7 linked regions of the Macaca mulatta genome follow. The protein of the gene in region 7 purifies or fractionates together with the protein of the main gene of each other region. This does not show direct contact. Links are inferred from orthologs where the notes say so. Each region holds a gene or a part of one and is shown on either strand. Other genes may lie near its edges.

Region 1 (4,521 bases), on a different chromosome or scaffold from region 7:
CAGGGAGGCTGCGGGTCCCTGGTCTCACGGGTCTCAGTTCTATGGAGCTGCCTGTCAGTCCAGGTATTCAGTCCCCCAACCCCGTCTTTGGGTCTCAGTGGTACTGGATCCAGGCACACCTTTGGGATAAGCTGTTAAAAAGCTGGCTGAGGGAGGACCACCCACGTCCATGCCCATGCTCCTATGTGGATCTCCCGGGATCATAACCTTGTGGCTGACACGTTTCCTCTCCAAGGCAGATGGGGCTGTGCTGTCCTCCACGACTTGCTGGGTCCCCTCAAGGCCTCTGCCTGTGTGGGTGGGGTGCTCATGGGAATGAGGGTCTGGGGGGTGGGAAATCGAACACCACAGGGATGGGGCCATAGTCCCCACCAAATGGGCTCTCCTGGACAGTGACCCGGCATTCTGCCTCCAGTGGCTGCAGTGGGAGTCCCGATCTCAGGCCAGGGAGGGGAAGTGCAATGGTTGTCCAGAGCTGGTCCCATTCCTGGCCAGGCTCAGTAAAGTCACTGGCCAGTTTCTGGGCCTCAGTCTCCCCCAAGTTATTCAGCCTGGAGAATTAGTCACCATGCCTGTGATTCTGCCTCATCTTCTTGTGTCAAACAGGGAGGGTTTTTCTTGGCAGAATGGTGGTAAGACTTTGAGCCAGGAGACTGTCCCAGAGAAGGCAGCAGAGAGCAAGAGCACCAGGGCCTTCTCAAGGCCTCCGAGAGCCAGCTGGGCCTGGGCAGTAGATTTGTGGGAGGGTCCCCTGTTGGGACTCTGCCGACATGGAGTCCTCAGGGCTTGTGTGAGTGCTCTCAAAGCCACAGGATGGGACGATCACCTCCTTTCTCCAGGCCACGCAGCCAGCGCCAGAAAGCTCTGCAGCTCCCTGCACAGTCTGGAGAAGGGCTTCCTTCCAGTTTGAAGTCAGTGTTTCTATCTCATTGCCATGCTCGCCCCCACTGCTACATCCTGCACCAACCATTGCCACTTTATACTGACCAGGTGGAACCAAACACTGACATTCCACACGGCTCCCCATCCCTCCCCAGGGAGAACAGGCCCACAGGTGGTGCACCTGTGAGGAGAGTGGAGGCTGGCCACAGGCCTCATCAAATCTGCCTCCCTTGCTCAAAAGCCCTGCCCAGAACATGCCTCGGTCTCAAAAAAGAGTACACTGGGACCTAACCCACATGCCTCATAATCTTTTAAGCAGAAACAGCAAGCAGATTATGGGACAGGACAGATCATGCTAGTAGGATTAAGCTTAGAATATCCCAGATAATCTCAGATGCCCCTCCCCCAATGGGGCAAGAGAGTACTTCTGAGGGTTAAGGGGAATAAGAAAAAGAAGGAAGGGCTGGGTGCAGTGGCTCACACCTGTAATCCCAGCACTTAGGGAGGCCAAGGCAGGTGGATAACTTGAGGTCAGGAGTTCCAGACCAGGCTGGCTGATGTGGTGAAACCCCGTCTCTACTAAAAATACAACAATCAGCCAGGTGTGGTGGCGTGCATCTGTAGTCCTGGCTACTCGGGAGGCTGAGGCAGGAGAATTGCTTGAACCTGGGAGGTGGAGGTCGTAGTGAGACAAGATCGCACCACTGCACTCCAACCTGGGTGACAGAGCGAGAAGCCGTCTCAAAAAAAAAAAAAAAAAAAAAAAAAGAAAGAAAGAAAACGAAAGACGGATAAAAGAAAACAGAAACATGGGAATACTTCCTCTGCACAAAAATGCCAAGGTCTAGAATGAAGAGATGGTGAAATGAAGTCAGCCTGCAGGAAGGCGCACTGCGCCGTAATGGGACTTGGGGATGGGAAGGCCGACACAGACAGAGGTGTCAGCAGGACAAATACAAAGTGTTTCTGAAAAGAGCAAAGATTTCCAGTCCTCTCTTTATTCCCAAACACTCTGTAGGTAAAGCAGGGCCTCAGTAAACCCGAGAAGCAGAAGGCCTGGCCTCCTGCCTGGAGCAGCTTCAGTTCAGACTTTTCTTCATTCCTAACAGCAGAAAGAGGCTGTGCAAATGGGAGGCCCTCAGCAGAGCCTGAGGAACTCTGGGGTCTTAGCTCCTGGGAGGCCACACATGCTTGGTGGCATCCCGCCTGTCACGGTCCCTCCAAAAGCTCCCAGTGATCAGTGGCCTTTCTTTTTTCTTTTTTTTCTTAAGACAGGGTCTCATTCTTTGCCAGGCTGGAGTGCAGTGGTGGAATCTCGGTTCAGTGCAACCTCTGCCTCCCAGGTTCAGGGGATCCTCCTATCTCAGCCTCCCAAGTAGCTAGGACCACAGGCAAGCACCACCACGCCCGGCTAATTTTTTGTATTTTTAGTAGAGTCGGGGTTTTGCCATATTGTCTTGGCTGGTCTCGAACTCCTGGCCTCAAGTGATCTACCCGCCGCCACCTCCCAAAGTGCTGCTTTCACAGCAAAGAGTCACCCCGCTCGGCCAGTGTGGCCTTTCTTCAGGCCATCACTTGCCAGCCACAGGCTGTGGCTCTGCCCCTCACCGGACACGACGTCACAGCCGGGATGTGAACAGCAGATTTTGATCTCCAACTCCAGACAATCACTGATTTACTTCTGCAAACCGGAGCTGTCCGGTCTTGCAGGGTCGGACCGTGTAAACAAGCCTGCTGCCAGGCAACTGAAGATAAAGACACGAGTAAAGACGCCCCACAAGGAATGAAAAACAAAACTCCTCCTGGGAAACCCAGATTTGGGATTCGGAAACGGGCTTGAGATTAACCTGAAGCTTCATGACGTCTTACTTTCTGTTTCCACTGCCTTTCCTTTTCCACTACAGCGACGCCCTCCGCTTCACGTGCCAAGTCCTGACTTTCTCCGAATAGTTGCCGACCCAGCACCCCGTAGGCCGTCCCCCGGGGACGCCGATGTCCTCTGGAGCACAGCGTCCGCTGGCGAAGCCGGGTGCTTGCCCTAAGCGCGGACACTTCCGCAACCGCCCAACAGTTAGCAGAAGCCCGATGCAAGGGACGCCCCATTCTCCCATCCCAGGGAAACTTCGCTGGGGCAGCGGTTCAATCGGGTGTGGGTCTCGCAGCCGCTTTCCCAACTTAAGGCTCTGCGTTTGGGCAGGCTCGGGACCCGCCGCCCTTCCTGGCGGGGGCAGGGCAGGCTCCCCGCGCGTAAGCCGAGGTGTGGCAGGGCCCCTCCCCGCAGCCCTCCCGCGCCGTCCACCGCGGCCCTGCTCCCTCCCGGTCCCCACGGGCCCCGCGCCCGCGCGCTGCCCTCACCGGGCTCCAGCAGATGAGCGCGTCGGTGTCCGGGTCGCTCACGAGGGTCCACAGCTTGGTCAGGAAGGCCGGGACGTTGCTGGGCCCCGCCGCACCGGGGCCCACGGGCAGATCCATCTCGGGCAAGGCGGGAATAGGCGGAGGGAGCGGCCGCGAAGAGGGGCCGAGGGCCGGGCTAACGCCGTTGCCGCGCCAGCCGTCCGGGCCGAGCCGCCGCCCGCTGCGCACACACAGCCCCAAGGCCCAGCATGGCCGCCGCCATCTTGCAACGGGCGCGCTCCCGCCGCTGCCGCCGCCGCTGCCGCCCTCTCGCGTCCCCCCCCGGCGCGAGCACGCAGGCCCCGACCCCGCCCCGGCCCCCGGCCCCGCCGCGCGCCTGCGCGTGTTGGTCCCGCCCCCCCCCCGCCCGCCAATCGGGGCCGGGCTGGGCGGGGCGCGTCCTCCTGCGCACGCGGCCGTGTCACTGCCGGAAGCGGCTGTTCGGGTCGCGGCCGGCGCGCGGCGGGACATGGCGGGTTCGCGGGGCACGGGGCGCACGGCGGCGCCAAGCGTGCGGCCGGAGAAGCGGCGGTCGGAGCCCGAACTGGAGCCTGAGCCCGAGCCAGAGGTGACTGCGGCAATGCGGGGCGGCGAGGCGCGTCCCTAGAAGGCCCAGCGGGCACGTGGCCGCGCTGGGGCGGGTGGGCCCGGCTGCTGTCACCTGGGCGCCCGTGCCCAGTGAATCGGCCTTGGGCGTGGGCGCAGCTCCTCTATCGGGGGGTCTTAGGCAGAGCAGACTGCAGGGTGAAGGACGGCGTCCGGGAAGCAAAGAAACGGGGGTGCAGGGAGTGGGGATAAGCGCCCCTTGCAGCAGCCTCTCCGGCCGTTCCATTTGTGCGTCCTGCCAGTAAAAGGGCTCGGCTTGCGCCCCCAGTAAATGCTTAACCTACTTATGCGCTAGTTAATCACGTTTTTATGCTCATGGGATAGACGTGAGAATAAGAAAACCTGAATAGAACCCAGAGTCTGCTGCGTTTGTTGTATCAGAACTCACTGTTGCCCTCTGCCAGCTCAGCCCCGTCTTGGTTGTGGGGATCGTCAAATTGGGTGGTGGAGGGAATGGACAGCCAGCCTCTCACAGCCCCCTCGGCCGCGTTGGGTTGTTGAAACTGCCCCATTGCTTTGTGAAGCGAACTCAACTAATCCTGGTTCCCATGGGCTGAACGGCCCGCAGGCCGCTCTAGGCGCCAGGTTCTGCTGCTTGCACCCTTGAGTTAAATGCTCTTCAGGAGCCAGTTGTTTGTG
Region 2 (4,281 bases), on a different chromosome or scaffold from region 7:
AAGTCCAGGAGGAAATGGGCTATATTCCAAAGCAAATAAGCTATGCACTCAGGCAGCCATTATTGGTTGGGTGGCTTTGGGCAAGTCATTGAACTCTTCTCTGCAGTAGTTTTGCCACCTCTGCAGAATAAGTGTATACCCAGCTATTGCATGTAAGCTAAGTGCTTTGTAAATCGTAACACATAATACAAAGGAAAGGCATCTCAGCTCTTCAGGGACTAGGTCTCACTCATCTTTGGATCTTTTGGTGCTTTCCCTGCTAGTGTTTGCCTCGATTAGTGTTCATCCCCCATTAGCGCATTTAGGACGGTTTTCCTCGTTTGCATCTTATTTCCCCCTCCAGCCTGGGACTTCCTCAACAGCAGGAATGATGCTTATTAATTTCTGATCCCTTTCTGCCCCTAGTACAGTGTCCGGCCTGCATCCCTCCATTCCTTTGCACTTTTATTTATTTCATAAGAAATGGCGGAGTGCCTAACAGGTGCCAGGCACTACACAGACTGTAATACAGCAAAAGTCCCAAGTTTCCTGGACTGGAGGAGTGGAGAAACAGGATAACATTAAATACAGTTACTTAATAACAATTCCATTAAGTGCTCCAAAGAATCAGGTGAGATGCCAGAAGGGATTGGGGGATGCGGGTGGGGACCTAACTCAATTGAGGAGCCAGAGAAGGCTTCCTAGAGGAGGTGGCCTGGAGGCTCAGAGAGGGTAAGGAACATGCTCAAGGTCACACAGCTGGTAAGTGGGAAATTGGGATTTTAACCCAGGAATGCCTGAGTCCAAAGCCCACACTCTACTAGAAAACACTGTCTTTTATTTCCTCCACTTTTTACTTCCTTGACTTTTTTTTTTTTTAGATGCAGTCTTGCTCTATCGCCCAGGCTGGAGTGCAGTGGTGTGATCTCGGCTCACTGCAACCTCCACCTCCTGGGTTCCAGTGATTTTCGTACCTCAGCCTCCCGAGCAGCCGGGATTATAGGCGTGTGCCACTCCACCCAGTTAATTTTTATATTTTTAGTGGAGATGGGGTTTCACCATGTTGGCCAGGCTGGTCTCAAACTCCTGACCTCAAACGATCTGCCCATCTCAGCCTCCCCAAAAGTGCTGGAATTACAGGCGTGAGCCACCACGGCCCGGCCCCCTACTTCCTTGACTTTTATTTTTGAGAAAGGAGTAAGGCCTGTTCAAATGAATGCACTAAAGCAGTATTTTTTCCCAGCTTTTGGGGATCACAGATTCTTTTGAGAATCTGGTGAAATCCGTGAAACCTCTCTCCAGAATTCCACCTATACAGACAGACCCACAAAATCTTGCATACAATTTCAGGGAGTTCATAGCTGTCCTGAGGCCCAGGTTTAGAACTCATTCCATGGAGGACCACCAGACCTTATAGTAAAATTGTCAGAACCGCAGAAAGAGACACCAGGACCCCATAAAGAGCTCAAATCCCCAGAGAGATCTCAAGATCCTATAGAAAGAGTCTCAAGATCCAGTAGAAAGATCTGGGATCCTGTAGAGGCCCCCAAGTTGCTACAGAGTAACAGCTGGGGCTTTGCAGAAATATTCTCAAGAGGTTATAGACATAGAGGAACCTCAACCTCTCATGAAGCTGGAGTCCTCATAGCGGGCTTGGAGAGCTATAATTTTGGGGATTTTTCGATTTTTGAGACAATGTCTGACCTCTGTCGCCCAGGCTGCAATGCAATGACACAATCACCCCTCACCACAGCCTCAAACTCCTGGGCTCAAGCAATCCTCCTGTCTCAGCCTCCAAAGTAGCTGGGACCAGAAGCATGTGCCACCATGTCCAGCTAATTTTTAAATTTTCTGTAAGGATGAGGGGTCTCACTATGTTTCCCAGGCTGGTCTCGAACTCCTGGAATCAAGAGATCCTCCCACCTCGAGCTCCCAAAGCGGTGGGATTACAGGCGTGAGTCACCATACCCTGCGGAGAGCTATAATTCTTGACCCTTGTTGGATCACTGACACCTTTGGAACTTCGAAGAAAAATGCAACACACACAACATGTTACACAAGGAGTTCACAGACCTCTGAGAGGCCATCGGTAGCCCCTGGGTACAGAACTCCGGTTCTTGAGGTGCTGCAAGAATGTAACCCCCGCCCTCCAAACACCTCAAAAACCTGGAGCAGAACCACAGACGCGAGGCACAAACTTTAGGGTGAAACAGACCCCGAGTCGCATCCCGGCCCTGCCGTTTACCAGCCATGACCTTGAACACTCACCTAGAAACCCTCAGGCCTCAGCATCTCACCACCCAAAAGAGAGGGCTGGACGCCCTTCCCTCCCCACCCCGGCCCCCACGGCGTGCGCTCCGTACCCGGTGGGGCGCTGACGCTTGACAGGACTCAGCCTCTCCCCTCCTGCGCCAGTGAGCCATGAATCCGGCTGCAGCACTTCGTGAAATACAAATGGGCCGACTGCACCAGGCGTGCGGGAGGCGGGGGAGGGGGCCGGCGCGTTCGCCGTTTGCCGCAGTGACAGCTCCGCGCAGCCGGCCGGCCGCGGGTCTGGGAAGCCGCCGGTGCCGGGCGCGCTCTCGCCTTTCCCACCCACCAGGCAGGGCGTTCCCGCCAGCCGGCTTCCTGCAGCCGAGGGCCGGGGAGGAGGGACGGCGCTGAGGGGCCGCAGGGCCTGGCAGGCCTGGTTCCTGGCTTTCTCTCCGCGTTTCCTGAGCAGGACCGGCCGGGGGATGGGACCCAGAGCAAACCTCCTTCCCCAGGAGCGCAGCCAGGAAATCGCGTCCTTATTAATCAGGTTCCTCCTCTGCGCGCCGAACGGGGCTGGTTTCCGTCCGCGATCGAGTGGGCATGGTGCGACCCACTTATCCCAGAAGGAAGCGGAGAGACGAAATGGCAGCTCCCGACCCCACGACACAGCAAGATTCCAACCCCGTGATGTCAGTGTTAACTCCATCCTACGGATGAGAAAGCTGAGGCTTTGAAAAATGAAGTGACTTATCCAAGGTCGTCATAAAAATATTACTACTAATAAAATAACGTGCTTACTACATACCAGCCACTGTGCTCCAGGTATATTTCGTCACTGGGTTCTTTAATCTATGAAGATAACTGTTGTTCCTAGTTCATAAATGAGGAAACAGAACCAGAGGCCAAGTGGCAGCTCCAGTGACGCACAGCTACGAAATAACAGAGCTAGGAATTAAACTCCAGCCTCCTGTTTCCAGAGCTCAGCCTTTCTCCATCCTGCTTCTGCGTTTCAGTTGAGTAACCATGACCTTGTCTCATGTGTTTCTGGGTCCTCAGAGCCTTACCGAGAACTTGACACAAAGTAAGTGCTCAGAGGTGATTAAGGGAACCTTACATGGAAGTTCACACTTAGAAGGACTGATAGGAGGCATCTGTCCACGTGACCCCTTCTAGCGCCTTCCGCCAAGTGAAAATGTAGCCTCTCCTGAATACTCGCTATCATGATAAACTCTCCCCCTCCCCACACCCCATCCCATTCCCTTGTTGGACAAATACATTTGGTTTAAATGTAAATGCTCCCCCCCTTTTTTTTTTTTGAGACGGAGTTTCGCCTTGTAGCCCAGGCTGGAGTGCAGTGGCACAATCTTGGCTCACTGCAACCTCCACCTCCTGGGTTCAAGCGATTCTCCTGCCTCAGCCTCCCAAGTAACTGGGATTACAGGCGTGTGCCACCACACCCAACTAATTTTGTATTTTTAGTAGAGACAGGATTTCATTGGTTGATAAGGCTGGTCTCGAACTCCTGACCTCAGGTGATCCACCCACCTCGGCCTCCAAAAGTGCTGGGATTACAGGTGCGAGCTACTGTGCCCGGCCTTAAATGCTCCTTTTTTTTTTTTTGTCCATGGTTTCTTGTAAACAAGGCCAGGCCATTTTCCTCCCTGTGGCCACATTACATATTGCATGGTATTCTTAGCCATTCTATAAGGTTAGACCGTTCAATAATTTTAAGTTCCTCATAAACTGGGACAAGGTCAGCTGTTCATCAAAGCTGTTCCCCTTCCAAATGTAGAGTTGTTTCTGAGAAAAGCAGCCAGACTACATTTTCCAGCACTCCTTGCTATTAGGAACATAACTAGTGTTCACCAGTGGGATATGGGCAGAGAACATGAATGCCATGTCCTGGCCAAAGTGGTGAAGAAGGATGTAGGCTTTCTCAAAGCTCTTTTCTCTCATCTGCCAATCAGATGTCAACACCAGGGGCCCCCTTGGAAGCTACACATTGGACAAGACAGAGCCTTAGTCAACCTGGGTCTCACTCATCACTTG
Region 3 (3,789 bases), on a different chromosome or scaffold from region 7:
TCTTACAGTGGTTTCACATTTTCTGTGTGAAATCTCCGAGAACTAGTCCTCTGTAATTACTGGAGAAATATGTGATTGATCATATATTTTCAGATTTCTATGATTCTTTTGACTCCAAAATTATACTCAAAGAATGTTAAGTTTGTAAAACCTAAACAAGGATACGTACTTGCAGTGGTACTGTAGCTCGGCTTACATGGAGATGTGCAAGGGTAAGCAAGTCCACAAGGATTCTTATTCCATTTGAATCCATGAGATCCTTAACATTTTTCTGGAAGAAGAAAACATTTTTTTTGTAATCTAAACATTTCTCACAATCTAAAACCTTTCCCAACAGTACCTTTCCCAATAGGTACTACCACCTACAAGGTCCTCGAAGAGGAGAATGTTTGGAATCTTTGGAAATAATTGATACAACTGGTATTACTTGGTCTTTTCAGCATTTTGTGTTCAAGGAACCTGAATTCCAATTGATTAAAAGGGCAAAATTATATTACAAAGAGATCACTTAAGAATTTTTACTTAAATATGTTCTGAAGAAAAAACAACCCACAAAAATAAGAGTAAACAAATTGAAGACTGTCATGATAAACTCTGGTTTTACAATTATTCTGCCAAGGTCTTTTTAATAAACAGATTATTCTATATCAGAAATAAAGTCTGCTATATTAAAAATCCTTTAATGTTCCAGTTTGTTTTCTTAAACTTAAAATAACTGGTAACTTCTTAGAAGAGACTATAATTTCAATTAAAATCTTTGTACGTATAATTACACTTCAGTTTAAAACATTTGCATTACTTACTACAAGAATAAAACTACACAAATTGGTATTAGTATCAAAGTTTTAAGAAATGAAAATCTGCTTATGCTTCAACATAAACTGTGAATTAATTTTATATATTACAACTATGAATTCCTCTTGTTCGAAATAAGCATGAACCTATTAAAATGTCTTCAAAAAGAAAACAGTAAAATGACTAATCTTGTAACTTCCAATTACTTTTTATCTGCAAAATGTATACTGATAAAGACTTTCCATTTTATGTCAAGCATATATTTTACTTAAAATTTAACCCTAGAAAGTCCCTAAAGAAAAATAAGCTAATAATTTCTATTATTAAAGATCATTTTAATGTATTAAAAGTCATCCATTGTTCCTCATTCAGAATTTTATTATCATTCATTCATTCTGCACCTATAATATTAAGACAGACTATACAGGGAATACTGACAAAAACCTTTCCCTCCAGGAGGTTAGAGCACACAGAACTTTCTGCCTAAAAAGGAGAAGACAGAAAAGAACACTCCCTGGATAATCAACTCAAACTGTGAGTTTATCTTACATTACTTATATGACTTGGAAATAACAATGTATGTATGCGAAACTACTGTACCTTATTAAGGATCAACTTGTTAAGGAAGAGAATCAACCTATCTCGTTCAAGTTTATCTGTGCACTATTGAAATAAATGAGAATCTGGTCAGAACTGAATAGAAATAAAAATTAAGCTATTACTATTACTAGACAAAATCAACAGCCCATAAGTAATGCCATCTTTTAAACATTAAAGAGAAAAATCATAGAAATCTGTCAATTATTGCAATTCCTTAATGAATCCTGAAAATTACATTCTTTACAACTTTATATAACTTGTCTAATTTCCCTAGAAAGGCAGACATTGTAAAGTCATCAAACAGATTAATATATAGCTTTAAGGACATATGTAAAAATTGAAGTAAGTGAAAAAATTGGTCCAAATGATACTTTAAGTAAAAGGAATGTAAACACAAAAGAAAGTATAAAACATACACTGCAACAAACAGGTAGCAATCAAATAAGCTGCATGATTAATTAATTTGTCCCCTTCACCATGTTCAAGTGTTAAATCACAAATTCTTAAAAAAAAATTTTTTTTGAGACAAGGTCCTGCTCTGTCATCCAGGATGGAGTGTGATCACAGCTCACTGCAGCCTCAACCTCCCGGGTTCCAGTGATCCTCCCACTTCCCGGTGAACCACCAGATACATGCCACCATGTCCACTAATTTTTTTATTTGACAAACTGTATAAAATTCTTTGTAAAGTGCTAACTCAAGGTTTCTTTTTTGGAGGCTTAGCATTGTAGTTTTAAAAGGTTTTTGCTATCTTCACACTTCTAAATTTAGTATGCTAGCATCAATTAAGATTTTTCCAAAATGGAAAATCAAAGGTACATACAACTCTAGAAGTCACCATTTCTTTTATACACCTGTCCAACTCATCCATACTTAAAGACTGACAAGTAGGTCAACTAAAGTCATTTGAAAATACTAACTGAAACACATAAAGTGACATGGACAAATTCTAACCCACTATTCATTTTCCTATTCATCTAACTCAGATTTAAGTAAGTATAAATTACAGAAAAATGAATGCAGAAAGTTACAGTAATAATGTGATCAAACAGAATTTAAATTTAGTTTTAAAATTTAACACATACCCTAGTGACACTATCAAATAGTAATTTCCTTAAATGATATCCTTACCCTCTCTAACATTCCAATGATATATCTGGTATCTGTAAAAGGTCCTATTTCTTCGTGACATCTGCCATAAACAATAGCAAGGGCTTGTAAACATAAACACTTCATGTTTACTTTTGGGGTGAGCAAGAAGCGATGATAAAGCTCATTGAAAAATTCATACCTAGATTTAAAAAAAAAAAGTTCACAATAGAAATAACCATGAAACCAACAGTGAGTACAAATGCAACAGGATATACAGAGTAGCTCACGATCTCTTAATTGATCCACTTTCTTCATTCTCATCTTCCTCCAATAGTAATCTCAGGTAATAGTCTCCTATTTTAATTTCCTCTGCCAGGCACTCATATTTAACCTTCATAAACAAAAGCAAATTACACTATTTTAGTTTACAATAGATTTTGGCAATTTCTAATAATTGTTTCTTATAATTCTTTCTGTTCAGAACTTATTTCTTACAATACTTATTAATTCAATATTGTTAACATGACTATTTTAGCTAAATGCTGAGAATTACATACCAATTTTATAAATGTCAGACTTGCTGATAAAAACCATCACAGCACTATGTGGTGTCAATTAAAAAAGGAAGAATAAAATCTGCTTTATTTCCTACTGGGTTTGCCATAAAAAAGCAAGGAGTACGGCCGGGCGCGGTGGCTCAAGCCTGTAATCCCAGCACTTTGGGAGGCCGAGACGGGCGGATCACGAGGTCAGGAGATCGAGACCATCCTGGCTAACACGGTGAAACCCCGTCTCTACTAAAAAATACAAAAAACTAGCCGGGCGCGGTGGCGGGCGCCTGTAGTCCCAACTACTTGGGAGGCTGAGGCAGGAGAATGGTGTGAACCCGGGAGGCGGAGCTTGCAGTGAGCTGAGATCCGGCCACTGCACTCCAGCCTGGGCGGCAGAGCGAGACTCCGTCTCAAAAAAAAAAAAAAAAAAAAAAAAAAAGCAAGGAGTAGATGGTCCTGCATCACACATAATTTGCTCAACACACATACACTACTTCAGGTCTTCCCTCTATCCCGCAGCTCTACCCCCGGCGATGTGCCAAGACTTAAAACCAACACATCAACTACATTTTACATTTTCGTAAAGAATTCCTTCTATGTCGAATCACCCCATTCTACTAAATTGAGGTGATAAATGAGGGCAAAGTCAAACATCAGGAGTTGGGCCAGCACCACCATGCTTGCACTCAGGTTGTGTGTCTCAAGGAAAGATTTCAGGCAATTATAAAAAGGAATTCTCAGATCAAAATTC
Region 4 (4,335 bases), on a different chromosome or scaffold from region 7:
CCCGCCCGACTCGGCGCCCAAAGTGCTGGGATTACAGGTATGAGCCACTGCGCCCAGCCACAAAAAAAAATTTTAAGCAGCATCTTTGAGAGAAACTAAAAAAAGTCAAGTAAACTCAGTAGGAAACACCAGCATAAGCGGTTTAACATTAAAATTGTAAAAACTAATGTGATACATTTGATTGAGTTAGGAAAAAAAGGATCATATTCCTAAATACTTGATAGTTTGGGCAAAATTACATCAAAATCTACCACAAAGATTACATGGTGATATTCCCTACATGTCCTCACTCTCTTTGCCTTCCTTCAGGTTGTATCTCCACTCTCCTTTTTGTAAAAAATAGCTGCTTCTAAAATCTATCAGAGATCTACTAATTTACCAGTCAACACCATGGGTACCATAACACTTAGCTTTTAAGGACGCTCTATTTGCTCAAAATGATAACTAAGAAAGAACAGATATTTGCTGACATACAGGTTTCTCGCAAGGAAAAATAAACAAAATAAGACAGGTTTGCTTAAGGGCAGAGAACTTTACAATCTGTAAATGCCTGCAGACTGCTTCTTCCCAGCAGGCATTAACCCTTCATAATATACTTAACCACCCCCACCCCCACAAAGTGTCTTATTAACAAAGGAAATCTTAACAGTAAGACATCATTTAAAAAAAAAAAAAAAGGACTGGGAAATCAACAATTAATTCAAAGCTAACATTTTAGACGTAAAGGCTTCACTTCAGACCACTCCAAACCTTCAAGAGAGCTTTACACTTTCTACATATATTTTACACTTAAGAGGGTAGATACAGGGACCAATTCCCATCACGATACAAGTACATATTGAAATAAACCTATTATTCTCCATGTTCTCACACCATTTCTCCCCATACAATAAAAGTCACTCAGTCTAATACTAAGAGAGACACTCCTGGTGATCACTACATAGACTGCACTAGTAACCAGGAAAGGGAAGCAGAGGTGTTATTGTTGTTCCAATATAGTTCTAGAGGCAACTCCATGTGACTACTGCTGGTCCAGCCCACATTTAAAGGGAGGACAGAGGAAACCAGAGCAGCAGGAAACAGGAGGGGTAATTACCACAACCCTTTCCCATGGCCTCATTCTCTCCCATGCCACCGCTTTTGGGCATATTTCAATCACAACAAAAAACCTTCCTTCTCTGAAAGGTTTCATAATTATTGAGGGTGAGCGGCAACAGGGAAGCAAATGGGGGAAGTCGGCGCTGTGGGAAAATCTCTCGCCACATATGTCAACTAGCCATAAGTAGGAAAATCAGGAGTACACTGGCAGCCAGCAAAAGGGCAGTTTGGGAAACTAATCACTTCTGCCTAATGATAAGAGAAGCCTTCAAAGCAGTAAAAGGTCGGCCCCAGCGAAGGGGCTCCACAGGTGAGTGTACTGAAAGAAACTATCATCTCCAGGGAGTGGAATACATTCCCTTTCCTGAGGTAAAAGGGGAACACACCAATGTCGCATACGGGACAGTTCAGGTATCATGTTCATCTTCCTTCCACCCTTCCCAAACTGACACTAAAAAGGATACACAATTCACAGCGAAAAGTGAGGAATGCAATAACTAGCCGCATACCCCTTGGTGAAAAAAGTGCTGTCATAACAGGAGAGGAATATAAGAATGGGTTTTCACCCAAGAAATTAATTATATGCCCTTCAAATAAAAGATGATCTTTGGATACCTTATGGAGACGTGAAAAAACCCTCAACTAGCTGGGCACCGTGGGGCACACCTGTAACCCCAGCTACTCAGGAGGCTGAGGTGCAAGAATCGCTGAAGCCCAGGAGCGGGAGGCCAGCCTGGGCAATAGATGGAGACCATATCTCTAAAATGAATAGCAATTTTTTAAAATCTCTCAACTGTTAGGATACGCTGGTGCTGTAGAAAGATTATAAGCCTAAATACTGGCAAACCATATACCTTCCTTGAATGTGAGATAAAAACAATATTCAACAGAAGTGGTAGTAAATGACTGGATTACATCAAACAGGAAATAACAGTAATAATGATGGGATCAACCCTTAAAGCGAGCAAGGGTTAGAGACCAGAGTGGTGACAGTTGAGAAGCGTGGGCAACTAATTAGACTAAAAACTCGGGGAAAATGTGGAAAAGCCGAGTGGGAAAGTGATTCAGAGGGAAACAGAACTGAGTTGTAATGCACCAATGAAAGAATAACATTTTGAATATGTATTATTAACAGACTGAGCTTTGCGGTTTACAAAGCGCTCAAAAACCTACACTAAAGAATGAACTGTGATATAACCAGACTACAGGAACCGGGGGTGAGGAGGAAAACTGAGTCCCAATTGAGACCAATTGAAAAGGAGAAGTAGAATTGAACTGTGCCTCCGGGTAAGCCAGGAAAGATTAGAGAGCGCAGAAGTTGGGGTTCTAAAAGGGCCAGTCCCAAGACTAGCTACGGGCGTGAAAGCGGAAAGGTGATCAGATGGGACCGACAGCGTGGCGGGGAAGCTCCCATCTACTGGCAGGCACCGAGGTGGGAGAGAAAACCACACCCTCCAGGGCAGAAACCCGAAGGGGGGAGGGGAGGCGCCCCTGGGGTTGGGTGGGGCCCGGCCGACCCGGACGGGGGAAAGTAGGAAGAAGCACAAGGCAAAGTGAGGGGAAGAGGCAGTAGGGCGCCCGGGCCTGGACACACAGGGACCGTGGAGCTGGCGAGTGAAGCTTGGCCCGGTCCTCACGGATGGGCGCCGGGGCAGTCTGCAGGCGGTGGGGGTTCAGACGAGCTGAACCCAGAACTAGAAAGCGCACGCTGCAGCGCTCAGGCCCCTGGAACAGGGAAGGAAAGGGACAGGATGGCAATTACCGCTGCTGCTCTCGGAGGACTCAAGACCCGCTGCCGCCGCCGCCGCTCGTTACCTGCCAATGTGCCTCTTACAAAGCGGCGGCGGCGGCACAGGCTGCCCAACCCGTCACGTGACCTCGCGTCACGAGCGAAGGAGGAGCCACAACACGTCGCTCGTGCGCGGCTTCAGAGCCCGCCCAGACGGCGCGCAGCCTCTTCTAGCTGCCACCTTCACCCCAACCCCGCGAGGCCGACCGCGTGGAGGTGGTGGGGGAAACCACAGAAAAAAAAAAAATAAGGGAGACTTGATAATATGTATTGTACTCGGAGTCATCAGGAGAGGATTACCCACCGCATCCAGGGTGCCTACAACTGCAGCTCGTCGTCGCGCCATGATGACCTCACAAGGCACCACAGGTTGCTCCCCTGTGGCCGCCTCTCTCATCACGTGATGTGGTTCAGCCACTCAGGGCAAGCCTGGCCTCCCAAACGTTGCACGAGGGGACCACGAGTCCCAACATGCTGCACAGCCAAGGCGACCCCTACCTCAGCCTTTCTCCCGCGGGCTCCCAGACGCACCCCCTAGAGACCTTAGTGCCGAGGGAAGGCCGGGCGGAAAGCGGACTAAGCTGGCTTGAAGAAGTAATACTACTGGACGCCGCCCGCCAGGTGGCGGAGCGTGGTGCCTGCTGGGAGGTGTAGTCCTGGCGGGGGGTGTGGTTCTGCTCCCACGTTCCTGGGCTCGCTCTGCGCCCTGCCCCCTGCGCGGGAAAACGCCAACGGCTCGCAGCGAGAGCCTCGGCAAGGCGGAAGGTCCGCCCACTTTTCGTCTTGTTCGGTGAGGTTGTACTTTTGCCCTCCCAAGCCCCTTCTGAGTGAAAAGACTAGCATCTATTGAACGCCTACTCGAAGTCCGCCGTTTATACAATCATTTCTGTTATATCATATAATCAACCCCTTGAGTCCAGGATTTCCCATATTTAAGGATAAAAAAAGAAGCTTAGAGTTGCTTGTTGACCGAAGAAACCCAGGTTTTCTGCCTTAGAAAATTAAAGACCTCCTCTCAATAGGATCTGACCTGTTGTCAACTCCAAAAATTACATATAAATAAGATGATGGTTTATAATTGTAGCATAGTGTTTTAAAAGTATTTTCCATTTACTGGCCTGTTTGGATATGAGGGCGATCTGGCTGCGATATCTGTCACCCCATTGATTGCCAGGGCTGATTCCGCTGATCTGGCTGGCTAGGCGGGTGGCCCTTCCTCCCGCACCGCTCCCGAGGCTGCATACTCGGTCGAAAAGGAGGAGCATCCCCCATAGAGGAGGACAGGTCAAGGATATAGGAGTAGCTGCACGCCCCTGTTAACAAGCTCTCAAGGTCCTCCAAACAAGCTCTCAAGGTCTACTTACTGGCCTGTTTTATCCCAAGCTGGTTACATATAAGGACTTTGCAGTCCTGGCATGCCTTACCTCAATTGGAGCTTTCCTCTGTAG
Region 5 (4,425 bases), on a different chromosome or scaffold from region 7:
TGGGACAATAGACCTCTCCACTAGCTCCCTGCTGTTTGATGCTTTGTCTGGAGCAAGGGAAGCAGAACTTGTGCGAAGGGACGGACGGGCACTGCACAAAATGGGTGTCCTCCAGCCGCTCGTGGCAGAGGGTGCAGCACAGCGGGGCACTGGCTGCCAGAGAGGAGTCCGGGAGGCTGGCAGGGTGCACTGGCTCCAGTCCTCCTGTGTTGCCTGCTCCCTGGCCCCCCACCTCTCTGGGGCCCAGCCTTCTTTGGTTCATAGAGGACGGAGAGGGCGGACTGTTGCTATTCCTCCTGGTAGTGGAGTGAACCTGGTTGGCATCTTTTGAGGCATGACTGCCCCCTGCATTGTCTGCTACTAAGATCAGGGCTGCCATGGGGGACTGGCCATTCTGGGCCGCTTCAGGCGGTGTGGTCCGGTTGGAATGAGGTGAGGCAGTGGGTGGTGGCGGAGACACAAAAGAGGATGTAGGAGTCATGGGGATCTTGAGCCCTTCTGTGGATGTGGACAGCCACGGCTGGGCCTCTCCATTGATCTTAGGGGGCCCGACTTCACCTTCTGGTTCTGGAGAGGGCTTCCTTTTCCTTGCTGTTCTTGCAACTGGAAACACAAAGAAATAAAAGGAAAAAGGAAACATAAATGGCGGTGCACTGGAAGGGATCCTTCCCTTCCTAACCCGAAACAAAACTCGTTACAGAATTCCTCCTCTCTAAAAGCACAGACGGAAAACCCTCCTACGAGTTTCAGGTGCACATACACGCAACTTGAAACATTTAGGCGTGTGGGGTTCTGAGGCAGTAGACTGAAAATAAAACGGAGCCACTGAAAATGGCAGGCTTGTAACTGCCTGTTTTTACACATGCACAAAAGTACCCTAGTTTGCACTGGGCATGTGACTGCTAATGTCCCGCAATAGGTTAAAAGGTGACTAGTGCCCTCATGCTCCCATCCAAGAATGTGCTGGGAAAGGAAAACCCCGTGTCAGAGCGTATCAGCCCAGTCTGACTCATCTCTGTTATGCTGCTTCAGCACATGAACACGTTGCCACTAAGCACTGGTTCCGCCTCAGGCAGATCAGGAAGTGGGGTATTTGTTGTTTCTGAGCTGGGGTAAAATGGTGAATCGAAAGAACCACCCCTCCTCTGCTCTCCGTCCCCTTTTCTCCCCTAGAACCCCTCACTTCACAGCCGCCCCTACCTGCTTTAGACCCGTTGGCCCCGTTGGCCTCGAAACCCAACAACCTGCCTGCAGTCAGGGCCGGCTCCTTCTTAAACTTGCTCTCGAAGGGCCCCGAGTGGCCGTGCTGGTGCAGCGCCAGCAGCGTGTCGCGCACGGTCTTGGGCCTGTTGACCCAGTCCTGCTCTCCAGACCCGCGGCTCTTGCCCGCACCTTCCGCGCTCAGCTCGGCGGCCCCGGCCGCGGTGGACAGGCTGTCCGCCGGGCCCCGGTGCGCAGGCGGCGGCGGTTGCTTCTCCTTGGCTGCTGCCTCGCGCTGCTCGTGCTCCACGGCCGCGCTGCTCGACACGGATGCCGGCCGCTTGTGGGCGCCCAGGTCGGTGGGCTGCGCGGAGCCCAGGCTGGCGGCCGCGGTTCCGGACACCGCGGCTAAGGAGGCGGCAGCGCGGCCGCCGAGGCCGAGCGCGGTGGGCAGCGGCGTGGCCGAGCCGTTCATGAGCGGCACCAGGGTGGGCGGCACCGCGTGGCCGCGCCGCGGGTTCGGGCTCTGGCGATTCAACTCGGGAGGCTCCTCTAGCTTGGAGAAGCCGTTGGGCACCAAGATGCCGTTCACGGGCGGCGGCTGCGGCGTCGGCGGCTGGGCCAGGCTCGCGGCCGGACGACTGCCGCCGAAGTCAGAGCCGAGGCGCGGGGGCCGCTCGGCCGCGGCCGCCAGGGGGTAGCGCTCCAGGGCCTGCGGCGCGCGCGGGGCCGCCTCGGGGCCGCCGTGGCCGAGCTGCTGCTGCTGCTGCAAGAGGATGTCCTTGGCCGAGAGCGGCGGCGGCTTGGCGGCGGCCGGGGCCGCGGCGCCGGGCGGGGAGCGACCCTCCGGGAAGCAGCCGTGCGCCCGCTTGAGCTGCCGCGCTGTCTCGATGACGAACTCGACGCGGTCGGCGCCCTCGTAGTTGACGCAGCCGCGGCACACAGGTTCGGTGAAGTCCCAGATCATGGCCCAGGGCATGCGGGGCAGATCACACAGGTAGCACGACTGCCGCCGGGACGCGGCCGCCACCGCCACCGCCGCGGCCATGTCCGAGGAGCCCGCGGCGCCGGAGGAGGAGGAGGAGGGGGCGCCGCCGCCGCCCCCCACCGGCACCACGCGCGCCCTCCTCCCCCCCCAACCCCGCGTCTCCCCCACCAGCGGCGGCGGCGGCCGCAAAGGCGGCGGCGGCGGCGGCAAAGCCCGCGAAGGCTCGGCGCCCGCGCAGCGCCCCCGGTGCACGAGGGGCGGCGGGCGCGAGGCGAGGGGCTGCAGCCGCGGCAGCAGTTCCCCCCGGCCGGCGCGGGCGCGGGCGGGCGGCGCGGTGCGGCGGTGCGGCGGGCGCGGCGGCGGGGGCTCGGCTGGAGCCGCGGCGGGCCTCCAGACCGGGGCGAAGACGGGCCGCGCGGGCGCGGGGGAGCGCAGCAGGTCGCGGCGGCGGCCGGCACAGTGTGCGGGGCGGGGGGCGGGGAGGCCGGGGGGGCAGGGGGCGGGGGGCGGCCGCCGGGGCAGGCTCAGCCCGAGCGGCGGGGCATGCCGCGCCGGGGCGGCGGCGGCTGGGCGGCGTGGAGCTCGGGTGCGGCGCAGGCCCCGGGTCGCTCCGCCGCTCTCTCACAGCTCCTGGCGTCGCCGCTCTCCAGCGCCAGCGTCAGCGGCCAGCCCGCCTCAGCTCTGCCGCCGCCACCGTCGCTGCTGCTGCTGCCGCCGCGGCCGCTCCACTTCTACAGACTTGATTCTTCGACAGTCTCGCACAGCGCCTGCGCGGGCCCCCTCCCCTCGGGCGCGTGCCCGCCCTCCCGCGCGCGCGCTCCCCTCCCCCCTGCGCGCCGAAGGAGCGCTGTCGGGAGAGCCGGCTCTGTGGCGCCCGCCCGCTCGCGGGGCAGCGCGGCAGCGCAGCGCTGGTGTCCCCTCGGAACACGGCGCAAAGTGGTCGTGTGCTTTTCCTCCACTTTCCCTCACTTCACGCCCCACCCGGCTGTCTCGACCACCCTCAGGATGTTTTCCCCTGGTGTGCCTCTGGACCAAATCGTGCTAAAAGCCATTTCTTTTTCTTTTATGCAAGGCCACTTTGTCACTTGGTTTCCGTCAGTCTCCTGAGAATGGGGATTTTAGGTCTAGCGTGGTTCACAGTTCTGGTTTTTTAGGAGTTATACTTGAAAGCTCAATGTCGGACACAAGAGCATGAAATCCGTCACTGGTGCTTTGCATTTGCATTTGTCTTGGGAAGGACATACCCGCCGCCTGCCCCTTTTACTAACTAGGGAGAATCTGGATGTTCCCAAGCCCAGCACCACGTGCACACGCCGCCAGCTGGCTCGCGCGTTTTCCACGGAGCCCTCTGGAGGGGAGGGAGCGCGGTTCGGATTAGCAGCTCGCGAACACCAAGTGCTGCTCTTAGCCCCGTCCAGCCCGCCCTGTTCAGCTAGGGCCTCGCCGCGCCAGTTGCCCCGGCCGCCTTATGTAGGTCTGCGCGGCGGGCGCGTGACGTGGACTCGGGACCGTGGGCGGCCGCCGCCGCGTGTGCGCACGCTCCGCGCAGACGTGCCTCGGCGCCGCTGGCACTAGGGCCTCGTGGAACGAATGCACATTCCAGGGATCCGGGGTGTACGGCCAGCGCGACCGCGTCACAGCGCAGGCCCCACCCCCTTCGGCGAGTCTGGGCGTCCAGGCGCCGCCCCGGGCCCGAACTTGGACTCGAGGTGGCGGGAGGCGCGGGCGCGAGTCGTGGGGGGAAGTCCTGCTCGCCTCCGCGGGGTCCCCGCTGGCCGTGGGGGCGACCGGCTGGCTGGCTCGCCGTCGCGCAGGGCGGGCCGCCGATGGGGGCAGACTTGCGCCCTATATGCCACCCAGGCTGGGGTAAGCCCAGCCCAGCCGCGCGGCCTTCAGCTCTGCCACCGTTGGCAGCCTCAGACTCAGCCCAGACTGAATTGAATGCTTGAGTTTCGCACTTTTATCGGGAGGAGGAGCTGGTGTGTGTTATGGTAAATCACTTTGGGCTGGTCGTTAGTCTCCCTAATACACGTAGGCTTAGTCGCTCTTCAATTGGGACTTTTACACTTCAGCTCTTTAAGGGCGGCCTCTGGGGCTGCTTTTGTTGGGAACACAGGCCCACAACTCTCCCTTGAGACTGGAATGAGCTGGTTAAGTGTGGGAAGAACAGGGTACTAATTATATTATCTTTCCTACAACTGGATTGGTAGGTGGAGAGAAAAAAAAAAATCCTGCTG
Region 6 (3,789 bases), on a different chromosome or scaffold from region 7:
TAGCACAAAAGTGATGGGAGGAAACTACTTCACAATAAGGTGGGCATGACTGATAGCCTCCTAACACATACATTTTATGTTTATATATACACACACATTTATGTATAAAAAATACATATGATACATATAAAAGATACGTATTTTTCCTTTTCTTCAAATACAAATGCTTACTAAATCAAATCTTTGGGAAATATAACAAAATAAAAATGAAAAATTTAAGACTGTAGAAAAACTTTATTACTCAGTAAAAAATGACCAAGTAGGAGGTTTAGCCCAGGAAGTCTGCTTCCAGAAACAGTTTGTTAGTCATGCTTTTCATCCCTTCTTCTATTTCTGTATCCAAGGATTCTATAAATAATCCAATTAAAAAAATCAAAGTAGGTGTAAGGGGCTCTGATCATAGCAGACTGGAGGCAGACGCAGCCATATCAGTAAGTGCCTAAACTGTAAAAATGCAAATATATTACAGATACAAATTAGGATTTTATTGCAGTCTCCCTCCCCAGTTATTTTGCTGCATAAAAGGATTTGTCATAGAACTCTTTTAATCTCAAACTTTCTAGTACTATCATTAGGTTTCAAAAAAAATTCAACTAACACAATGCTTTTTCAGGAGAAAAATCTTTTTAGATGAAAGATATAAAAAGATATATGTTATATATATGAAAAATTACATGAATGTGTATATATATATTTAACAGTAGTTTGTTTCAAAGGGAAAAATATGTATTGATGCTTCAAAATGTAATATGTAAGGAAGAAATGATTAATTTCTGGGCAAAGCTTTTTATTTGTCAAGAAAAAAATCAGAAAATCTTATATTATGATTGGATGTGATGTTAGCTGGGCTTGTCCATGTAAATAGAAATGTAAGGGATCTGCAAATGTTCAGAATACTTCCTTTTCCACCTGTGCTTCTATCTTTTTTTTTTTTTTTTTTTTTTTTTTTGAGACGGAGTCTCGCTCTGTCTCCCGGGCTGGAGTTGCAGTGGCCGGATCTCAGCTCACTGCAAGCTCCGCCTTCCGGGTTCACGCCATTCTCCTGCCTCAGCCTCCCGAGTAGCTGGGACTACAGGCGCCGCCACCTCGCCCGGCTAGTTTTTTGTATTTTTTAGTAGAGACGGGGTTTCACCATGTTCACCAGGATGGTCTCGATCTCCTGACCTCGTGATCCACCCGTCTCGGCCTCCCAAAGTGCTGGGATTACAGGCTTGAGCCACCGCGCCCGGCCCTGTGCTTCTATCTTTTTAATCTTTCCTTTACCTTGACTCTCTATGTGTTCAAGTGTTTATTTTTCTAGCCATTTCCAGGAAAAGGCACATGGGACTTTGTATTTCCAGAGAGAGTTGAGGGATGGAATGGAGAGCAGTCACATTAAACTCTTGGCTCAGAATGCAAACCTTTATTCTGGAAGCTTAAGAAAAAAAATTAAGAGGGATTAATTTTCAGATTCCCAAAATAATAGTTGGTTTTGCCTACAGATTTTAAGTATCTAATTATTCATTCAACATCACCGATTTGTTCTAAGTGTAAACTGAGGTAGTAGCTCTGCTGCTTGAAGAGAAGGGGGCCCCTGCGTGTTTGTTAGACTTTTAAGGGTAATGAGTCAAACTTCATTCTGCAGTCTCACTTAGGCAGAAGCTTCCCCAAATTTTCCTTTCCTCTTTCCATTTAAAGGTTGCTTTTAAGTGGAAATATTGTTAACAATAGGATTTCCCAATGATTTACGTATAAAGAACCAAAGAAACAGATGGACCAAGTAGAAGCCACGCCCCTTCAGCACTCGTGCCTACCTGCTGTGTCTGTTGTCTCTGGATTGCTCTCACTTTGGGAACAGGGCTCTCTCTGGAGGAAGAGGACTGCTGCCGGGACCGGCTCCCATTCTGCACAGGTTCGGCCACCAGGGCTGCGGACGCCACTGACATGCTCCCGGTGCTACGTAAGGAAGCACTATGTGGCAGGGATGGTGGGGCTTTGGCTCGGGCACCTAACCCACCCTGGTCCACTTTTCGGATCTGGGCCTGCCCAGTACTATTTTGTCGTGGCAAAGCAAGAGGTATGTGTCTGTCTGGCACAGTGTGCCGCCTGGAGAAGTCCTCACTCTGAGTGCTACGTTTAGTGAAATCTTCCATGCTGCTATTGCTGGGTCCACTAAGCTTGAAGTCTTCACTGTTACTTTGGCTTCTGGAACTGGCAGTGCTTAGGTTCTCCAAACTGGAATCTATAGAGGCCTTTGGCATTGCTGGAATTGGGTTATTGAGGTGATAGACAGGGTTCTGGAATGACAAGGGCTGAAGGCCACCTGGCTGGTTCAAGGCTGGGTGCAGGGGCCTTCTCACTTGGGGTGCACTTTGGGGAGTGCTCTGGGTTTCCCGCAGCTGTTTGATGCTGGCCACCTGGGTTATGGAAAGCTGGCTTCCGGTCAAGCGTATAGGCACATCAAGCATGACAGATGCATGCTCCACTTGAGCAGCATGAGTGTCCTGGAGGTCCATGAGGGAGACGCTCCGACCATTAGGAAGGCTACTTTCCCTTTCATCCTTTTCAGAATAAGTCATGCTCTGAGAGGAGGCTTGCTGAACCAGCAATAATGTTTTCCCTCTGAAGTAGCTGTCTGTGTTGTCCTGGCTTGGAGATTTTAGTTTATGCAAATCACTGTAGAAAAGGAAAGGACACTTAATTTCTCTTGAGACAACTTCAACATGGCTAAGATGCCTCAATTCAGGCATGTGAACTCCTCTGAAGGTTCTTATGTGGATACATACATTTCTTTGGAAACTCAGATTTTACATAATTAGGGAATTATTACAATTGTTAGAATAAAATCCAGCATTTTTACTTTTTCCCCAAAAGTAGAGAATAACACTGTAGATACCAACCCATCACTGTCTTCAGTTTTAACCAGGATTCCAATAATTTCCTAGTTAGGTTTTAAACCTTCCTGAAATATTCCAATTCATACTTACTTATCTAAACCTTCAAGAGAAGTTCTAAGTACACAACTGCAAGGTCCCTGCTAAAGGCACAAATCTTGCCAATCCATAACACAGTCTAAGCATCAACATTGTATCTACCTGTCCAGCTGACATAGCCAGCTATAAAATGGTTTTCACCGAGGTTCTCCATGGTTTTTGAATGCTATAACGTATAGAAACATGAATTTCATAAAGCCTTTGGTCTTCCACTAAGCAAGACAGAAATTTTAAAAATATGCTGGGGAATATATTATAACTCTCTATACTACCATTCTAGAAAATAAGTTATCCCAGATCTTGTGCATTATAATGACAAATAATTGAACTGCTCTCAGGTCAGATGAGTCTTCAATTGCTCATAATTTTAAACTTGTAAATTCAAAAAACAGGTTGAATATACTTCTGCTAAATCTGAACATTATATTTCTCTGAGATATTGGTCACGTCCTCTCTTTCATACCTGTCAGTGGGGTCTTCAAATATTTTCTGCAGCCCAGAGGAGAGGCTTCCACTGACATTTGGACTGGAGTTATGTTCAGTGAAGCGTCTCAGTTGCTGTTGTATTGGCGTAGGATTAGTCAATGACTTGGTAATATCAGCAAGAACACGAGGGAGAGGCCCCAATTTTGCCACGGTCGCCTGTAGGAAGGAATTTTCACCCTAATTGGATAATAAGCATTGCGACATCCACCATAGATTGTTTTTGGCACAACGATGGCCATTGATGGAGGGGTGCAGGTTGGAGGGAAGGGTAGGTATTTGCATATGGGAGTGGCAGGTTCATAATGCATTGTTATGGAGCAGCAGAACCATG
Region 7 (3,789 bases):
GCGGAGGTTGCAGTGAGCCAAGGTCGTGCCACTGCACTCCAGCCTGGGTGACGAGTGAAACTCCATCTCATAAAAAGAAAAAAGAAAATGACAGCACATTTTTACATTCATGCCTTTTACTGGTCCTACAAGTTTCCTCATTTTCTCTGCATTTTGTCCCTCTCTTTATGTTGTACCTCAATTCATCTTTTTTTTTTTTTTTTTGGTCTCTACTTCTCTGCTTCCATTCTCACCCTTTTTCCTCTGTGTTTTTTAATCTCTTGCAGTCCAGTAACTTGTGAAGAACTGAAGTTAGGAGTGTGAACCTGGGATAAAACACATGGCCTTACTGCTTGGGGCCAGCTCTTCTGAGCTTGCAGGCTTTTTCCTATCTCTCCCAGCCATGGCTTGGGGTAGAGAGCATGCTGGAAGAAATCTCTGAGTAAGTGGCTGCTATAATAAACTGACAGCTGCAGCTGCTCTCTGTGGCTCACATTAAATGCTGTGGCCTAGTATACGCATACCGAAAGTCAAGCAAAAATTGACCCACACTTATCATAAACTCTTTAAAGGAGTGTAAAAGACGAGCCCCTTCTGTGGAGATGGCTCTCACCGTCACTGATCTGCCTCATGTCCTGGCTATTTTGGATACTGTGGATCATTTCCAGAAGGATTTCTTTCTCTTGCTCAACAGCAGTTGCTGCTTCTCTCAAAGCTTCAACCCTATAGAAATTGGGAAAACAAAACGGTTATTGTATGCAGGATGTTCTTCCTATTAATTTTATCTCTCATTCAACCCAAATCAAGTTTAAAGATCACCAAACTTTTCAAAACTTCTTCATTTCTGCTTTAAAATTCTTTCATTTTTCTATTTTTTATCCACTTGCCTTTCTCCTATTTTCCTTCCAGCTCATGAGGCAATTCTATTTAGTGTTTATCTAATTAATAGTATTTGTTTTTACAAGATCTGTATTATTTGTATATTTTGAATTTATATCTCATTCTGTTTTTATTTTTTCACTTAGCATCCAGGATCCTATGTGTACTTTTTTTTTTTTTTTTGGAGACAGTCTTGCTTTGTCCCCCAGGCTGGAGCACAGTGGCACGATCTCACTGCAACTTCTACCTCCTGCGTTCAACTGATTCTCATGCCTCAGCCTCCGGGCCCAGCTAATTTTTGTAATTTTAGTAGAGACGGGGTTTCGCCATGTTGGCCAGGCTGGTCTCAAACTGCTGGCCTCAAGTGATCTGCCCACCGCAGCCTCCCAAAGTGCTGGAATTACAGGTGTGAGCCATCACACCCAGCCCCCTATGTGTACTTTTAATCAGTTGGTGCTACATATTTTATAATACTCCATGTGTATACCTACCTGCTTTTCCTTCTCCACTCTCCCAGAGATGGACACTCAGGTTGTCTACCAACTTCTTATTACTACAAATAACACTTCTATGAATACATCTCCCCTTTGGATCTTGGTGAGGATTTCCTTAGGACATATACCAGGACAGAATTGCTGAGATAAAGGGTATGTGTACTCCGCTTTTGACTTAGTACTATGATTATTCTGCAGAATACCTGTACCTGTCCATTCTCCACAGCAAAGCACAGGAGTCCCCATATCCCTACCAACACTCCGCATTTGCCAACTTTCTATTTGCTGCCAGTGTAGTAGAAGTATGTCAGGTTAACCTGCGTTTTCCTAATAATTTCAGACATCTCTTTGTATCCTTGTTAGCCTATTCATAGACTTTTCCTATTTTGTTTTTCTATTTTTAAACAGGAGTTACTGTCCCCTTGCTGATTTGTATACTCAAGAAATTCTTGTTGGTTACAGACATTGCAGCCATCTCTCATCCTCTCTTATATGAACCACGTCTGGGATGTCTGGCACTAAAGAGAGACTCTTATTTTGATGTGATCCAATTCATCTTTTTTTTTTTTTTTTTTTTTGCCTTATAGCTTATGCTTTTGAAGTTTTGACCTAAGGTCTTCCCCCTACCCCTTGGTCATATTTTCCTATATTTTCTCTTATTAACTTTATAGTTCTACCTTCCTTATGTCTTTAATCCACCTAGAATCAACCCTTGTATGTAGTTAGTTAAGAATGTTGTTTTTTTTCAAATAGCCATTTTCCCCAACATTATTTACCAAACAATCCATCTTTCCCCTAGCGAATGCGTATTAAGTTTCTCTCTAAAATCTCTATCCCATGCATTAGTGTATTTAACTGTTCTTATACTAGTGCCCAGTTTTGTTTTGTTTGTTTATAGCACTAGCCTTGTACTATACTTTAATATTTGATAGAACATGCCCCTCAATCTTCTTTAAAGATAACTTAACTATTTATGGACTTTTACTTCTCCATATAAATTCTAGGGTACGTTTATTGTGTTTCTCAAAAAATGAGAGAAATTCGACATCTTTATAACGTCATTCTGTTTAAGGGCATGATATATGTCTCTTCATTTATTCAGATCTTCTATAGAGTTCTCATGTATTCTTCATAGTAGTCTTTGTAGATATTGTTGCTCTTGTGAATTTGTATTTTCTAGTTGATTTTTACTGGTTTGAGAAGTGTTGTCTTTGTAGGTTTATCTTGTCACTGGCGACCTTGATTTACATGTATTCATTTTAGTGTTCAGTCTGTTGATTCTGTTGGTTCTTCTAGGTAAATGATCATATCCATATCATCCATAGTTTTTATTTCCTCCTTCCCAATCCTATTACTTTTCTATTACTTTTTTTTTTTTAAGAAAAGGTCCTTCAGTACTGTATTAAACAGTGGCAATGATGGGGGTATCTTTGTCTTTTCCCAAATTTAAGGGAAAGTCTCTGTGGCTTTTTTGTGTAAAACCCTCATCAAACTATAGAAGCGCTACTTTCCCCACTTCACTCAACTGCACACACATGCACTCACACTATACATACACATAATTGTGCCCAGTCACTAAAAAACTAAGCTGGGGAATCATGAGAGCAAAATAAAAATATACATATTGTATATTTAACATGTTGTATACTTCCAGGGTACCTTATTATTATGAATTACAGTAAGTTGCCAACTTTTGCAAAATGAAATAGTGACAGACCTATTCCCAGTATTTGGATGGTCTTAGAAGTTCATGAGAGATCTAATCCTAACTGCTGTCTTAAGTGTGCACAGAAAGAACAACTTCACCAATGTTTTAGCATGTTCAATTCCATAAAAGGATCTTCCCCCTACCCCAAGCACACACGTGCCTTTTCCCCTTCGGTTACCCACCTGTTATACCCCAAAATAGTACTGACAGGCTGTAACATCACAGGATATCTTTATTCTTCAAGATATTAAATATATGTCAAAGTCTGTGTTTATAAGAGCCACTAAAAGCAAAGAACTGGGAAGAATCTCATGTGACAAATTTGGCTAGAGAACACAATCAAAATACAATATTCTACAAAGTAACAGTAATGCAAGTATCAGGCCCTATTCCAGGACCATTCACTATTTACTTAAACATTTTACATTAGCAATCTCTCAGAAAGATAAACTAGGGCCCAGAACATAGGAAAGAGACTGAGTTGGCACTAAATATTTATGCTAAAAGCACAAACCATGACTCCAATATTTAGACAAATGACACAGGTGAATCATTTGATTGGTAAATGAGAAGATGCTGAAAGAAGAGATTAATTTTTCAACACTTCTTCGGCTGGTATTCAATTGTAAGATGATAAGAGAGAACAACACTATTCTGAAAAGGAAGGTTTCATTTACGAGTTACAGCAATAAGTTCATGTTCTTAACAAAATAGATAAAAAAAGACATT

What was found.
Region 1: the proteins of BAG2 (region 7) and HSF1 purify together in Homo sapiens (affinity purification with mass spectrometry; 3 studies listed by BioGRID and IntAct, with this or other methods). This does not show direct contact. The link is inferred for Macaca mulatta from reciprocal best matches to the Homo sapiens genes BAG2 and HSF1.
Region 2: the proteins of BAG2 (region 7) and LUZP1 purify together in Homo sapiens (affinity purification with mass spectrometry; 3 studies listed by BioGRID and IntAct, with this or other methods). This does not show direct contact. The link is inferred for Macaca mulatta from reciprocal best matches to the Homo sapiens genes BAG2 and LUZP1.
Region 3: the proteins of BAG2 (region 7) and DNAJC13 purify together in Homo sapiens (affinity purification with mass spectrometry; 3 studies listed by BioGRID and IntAct, with this or other methods). This does not show direct contact. The link is inferred for Macaca mulatta from reciprocal best matches to the Homo sapiens genes BAG2 and DNAJC13.
Region 4: the proteins of BAG2 (region 7) and UBAP2 purify together in Homo sapiens (affinity purification with mass spectrometry; 3 studies listed by BioGRID and IntAct, with this or other methods). This does not show direct contact. The link is inferred for Macaca mulatta from reciprocal best matches to the Homo sapiens genes BAG2 and UBAP2.
Region 5: the proteins of BAG2 (region 7) and IRF2BP2 purify together in Homo sapiens (affinity purification with mass spectrometry; 3 studies listed by BioGRID and IntAct, with this or other methods). This does not show direct contact. The link is inferred for Macaca mulatta from reciprocal best matches to the Homo sapiens genes BAG2 and IRF2BP2.
Region 6: the proteins of BAG2 (region 7) and RASAL2 purify together in Homo sapiens (affinity purification with mass spectrometry; 3 studies listed by BioGRID and IntAct, with this or other methods). This does not show direct contact. The link is inferred for Macaca mulatta from reciprocal best matches to the Homo sapiens genes BAG2 and RASAL2.

Annotation. Positions count from the first base shown.
Region 1 is NC_133413.1:154,684,027-154,688,547, reverse strand, and holds the start of HSF1 (heat shock factor protein 1), read right to left. Parts: upstream 3,001-4,521; 5' UTR 2,986-3,000; coding exon 2,752-2,985; intron 1,654-2,751; exon of another isoform or gene 1-1,653. Other genes in the region: ribosome biogenesis protein BOP1, read left to right, coding at 3,746-3,844. UniProt on the Homo sapiens protein: Functions as a stress-inducible and DNA-binding transcription factor that plays a central role in the transcriptional activation of the heat shock response (HSR), leading to the expression of a large class of molecular chaperones, heat shock proteins (HSPs), that protect cells from cellular insult damage.
Region 2 is NC_133406.1:217,839,084-217,843,364, reverse strand, and holds the start of LUZP1 (leucine zipper protein 1), read right to left. Parts: upstream 2,802-4,281; 5' UTR 2,343-2,801; intron 1-2,342.
Region 3 is NC_133407.1:35,572,773-35,576,561, reverse strand, and holds part of DNAJC13 (dnaJ homolog subfamily C member 13), read right to left. Parts: intron 2,879-3,789; coding exon 2,775-2,878; intron 2,687-2,774; coding exon 2,527-2,686; intron 1,459-2,526; coding exon 1,396-1,458; intron 272-1,395; coding exon 170-271; intron 1-169.
Region 4 is NC_133420.1:65,639,049-65,643,383, reverse strand, and holds the start of UBAP2 (ubiquitin-associated protein 2), read right to left. Parts: upstream 2,990-4,335; 5' UTR 2,861-2,989; exon of another isoform or gene 477-2,860; intron 1-476. UniProt on the Homo sapiens protein: Recruits the ubiquitination machinery to RNA polymerase II for polyubiquitination, removal and degradation, when the transcription-coupled nucleotide excision repair (TC-NER) machinery fails to resolve DNA damage. May promote the degradation of ANXA2.
Region 5 is NC_133406.1:14,468,776-14,473,200, reverse strand, and holds the start of IRF2BP2 (interferon regulatory factor 2-binding protein 2), read right to left. Parts: upstream 2,941-4,425; 5' UTR 2,249-2,940; coding exon 1,201-2,248; intron 604-1,200; coding exon 1-603. UniProt on the Homo sapiens protein: Acts as a transcriptional corepressor in a IRF2-dependent manner; this repression is not mediated by histone deacetylase activities. Represses the NFAT1-dependent transactivation of NFAT-responsive promoters.
Region 6 is NC_133406.1:35,888,621-35,892,409, reverse strand, and holds part of RASAL2 (ras GTPase-activating protein nGAP), read right to left. Parts: intron 3,636-3,789; coding exon 3,436-3,635; intron 2,656-3,435; coding exon 1,794-2,655; intron 1-1,793. UniProt on the Homo sapiens protein: Inhibitory regulator of the Ras-cyclic AMP pathway.
Region 7 is NC_133409.1:125,109,747-125,113,535, forward strand, and holds part of BAG2 (BAG family molecular chaperone regulator 2), read right to left. Parts: intron 703-3,789; coding exon 593-702; intron 1-592. UniProt on the Homo sapiens protein: Co-chaperone for HSP70 and HSC70 chaperone proteins. Acts as a nucleotide-exchange factor (NEF) promoting the release of ADP from the HSP70 and HSC70 proteins thereby triggering client/substrate protein release.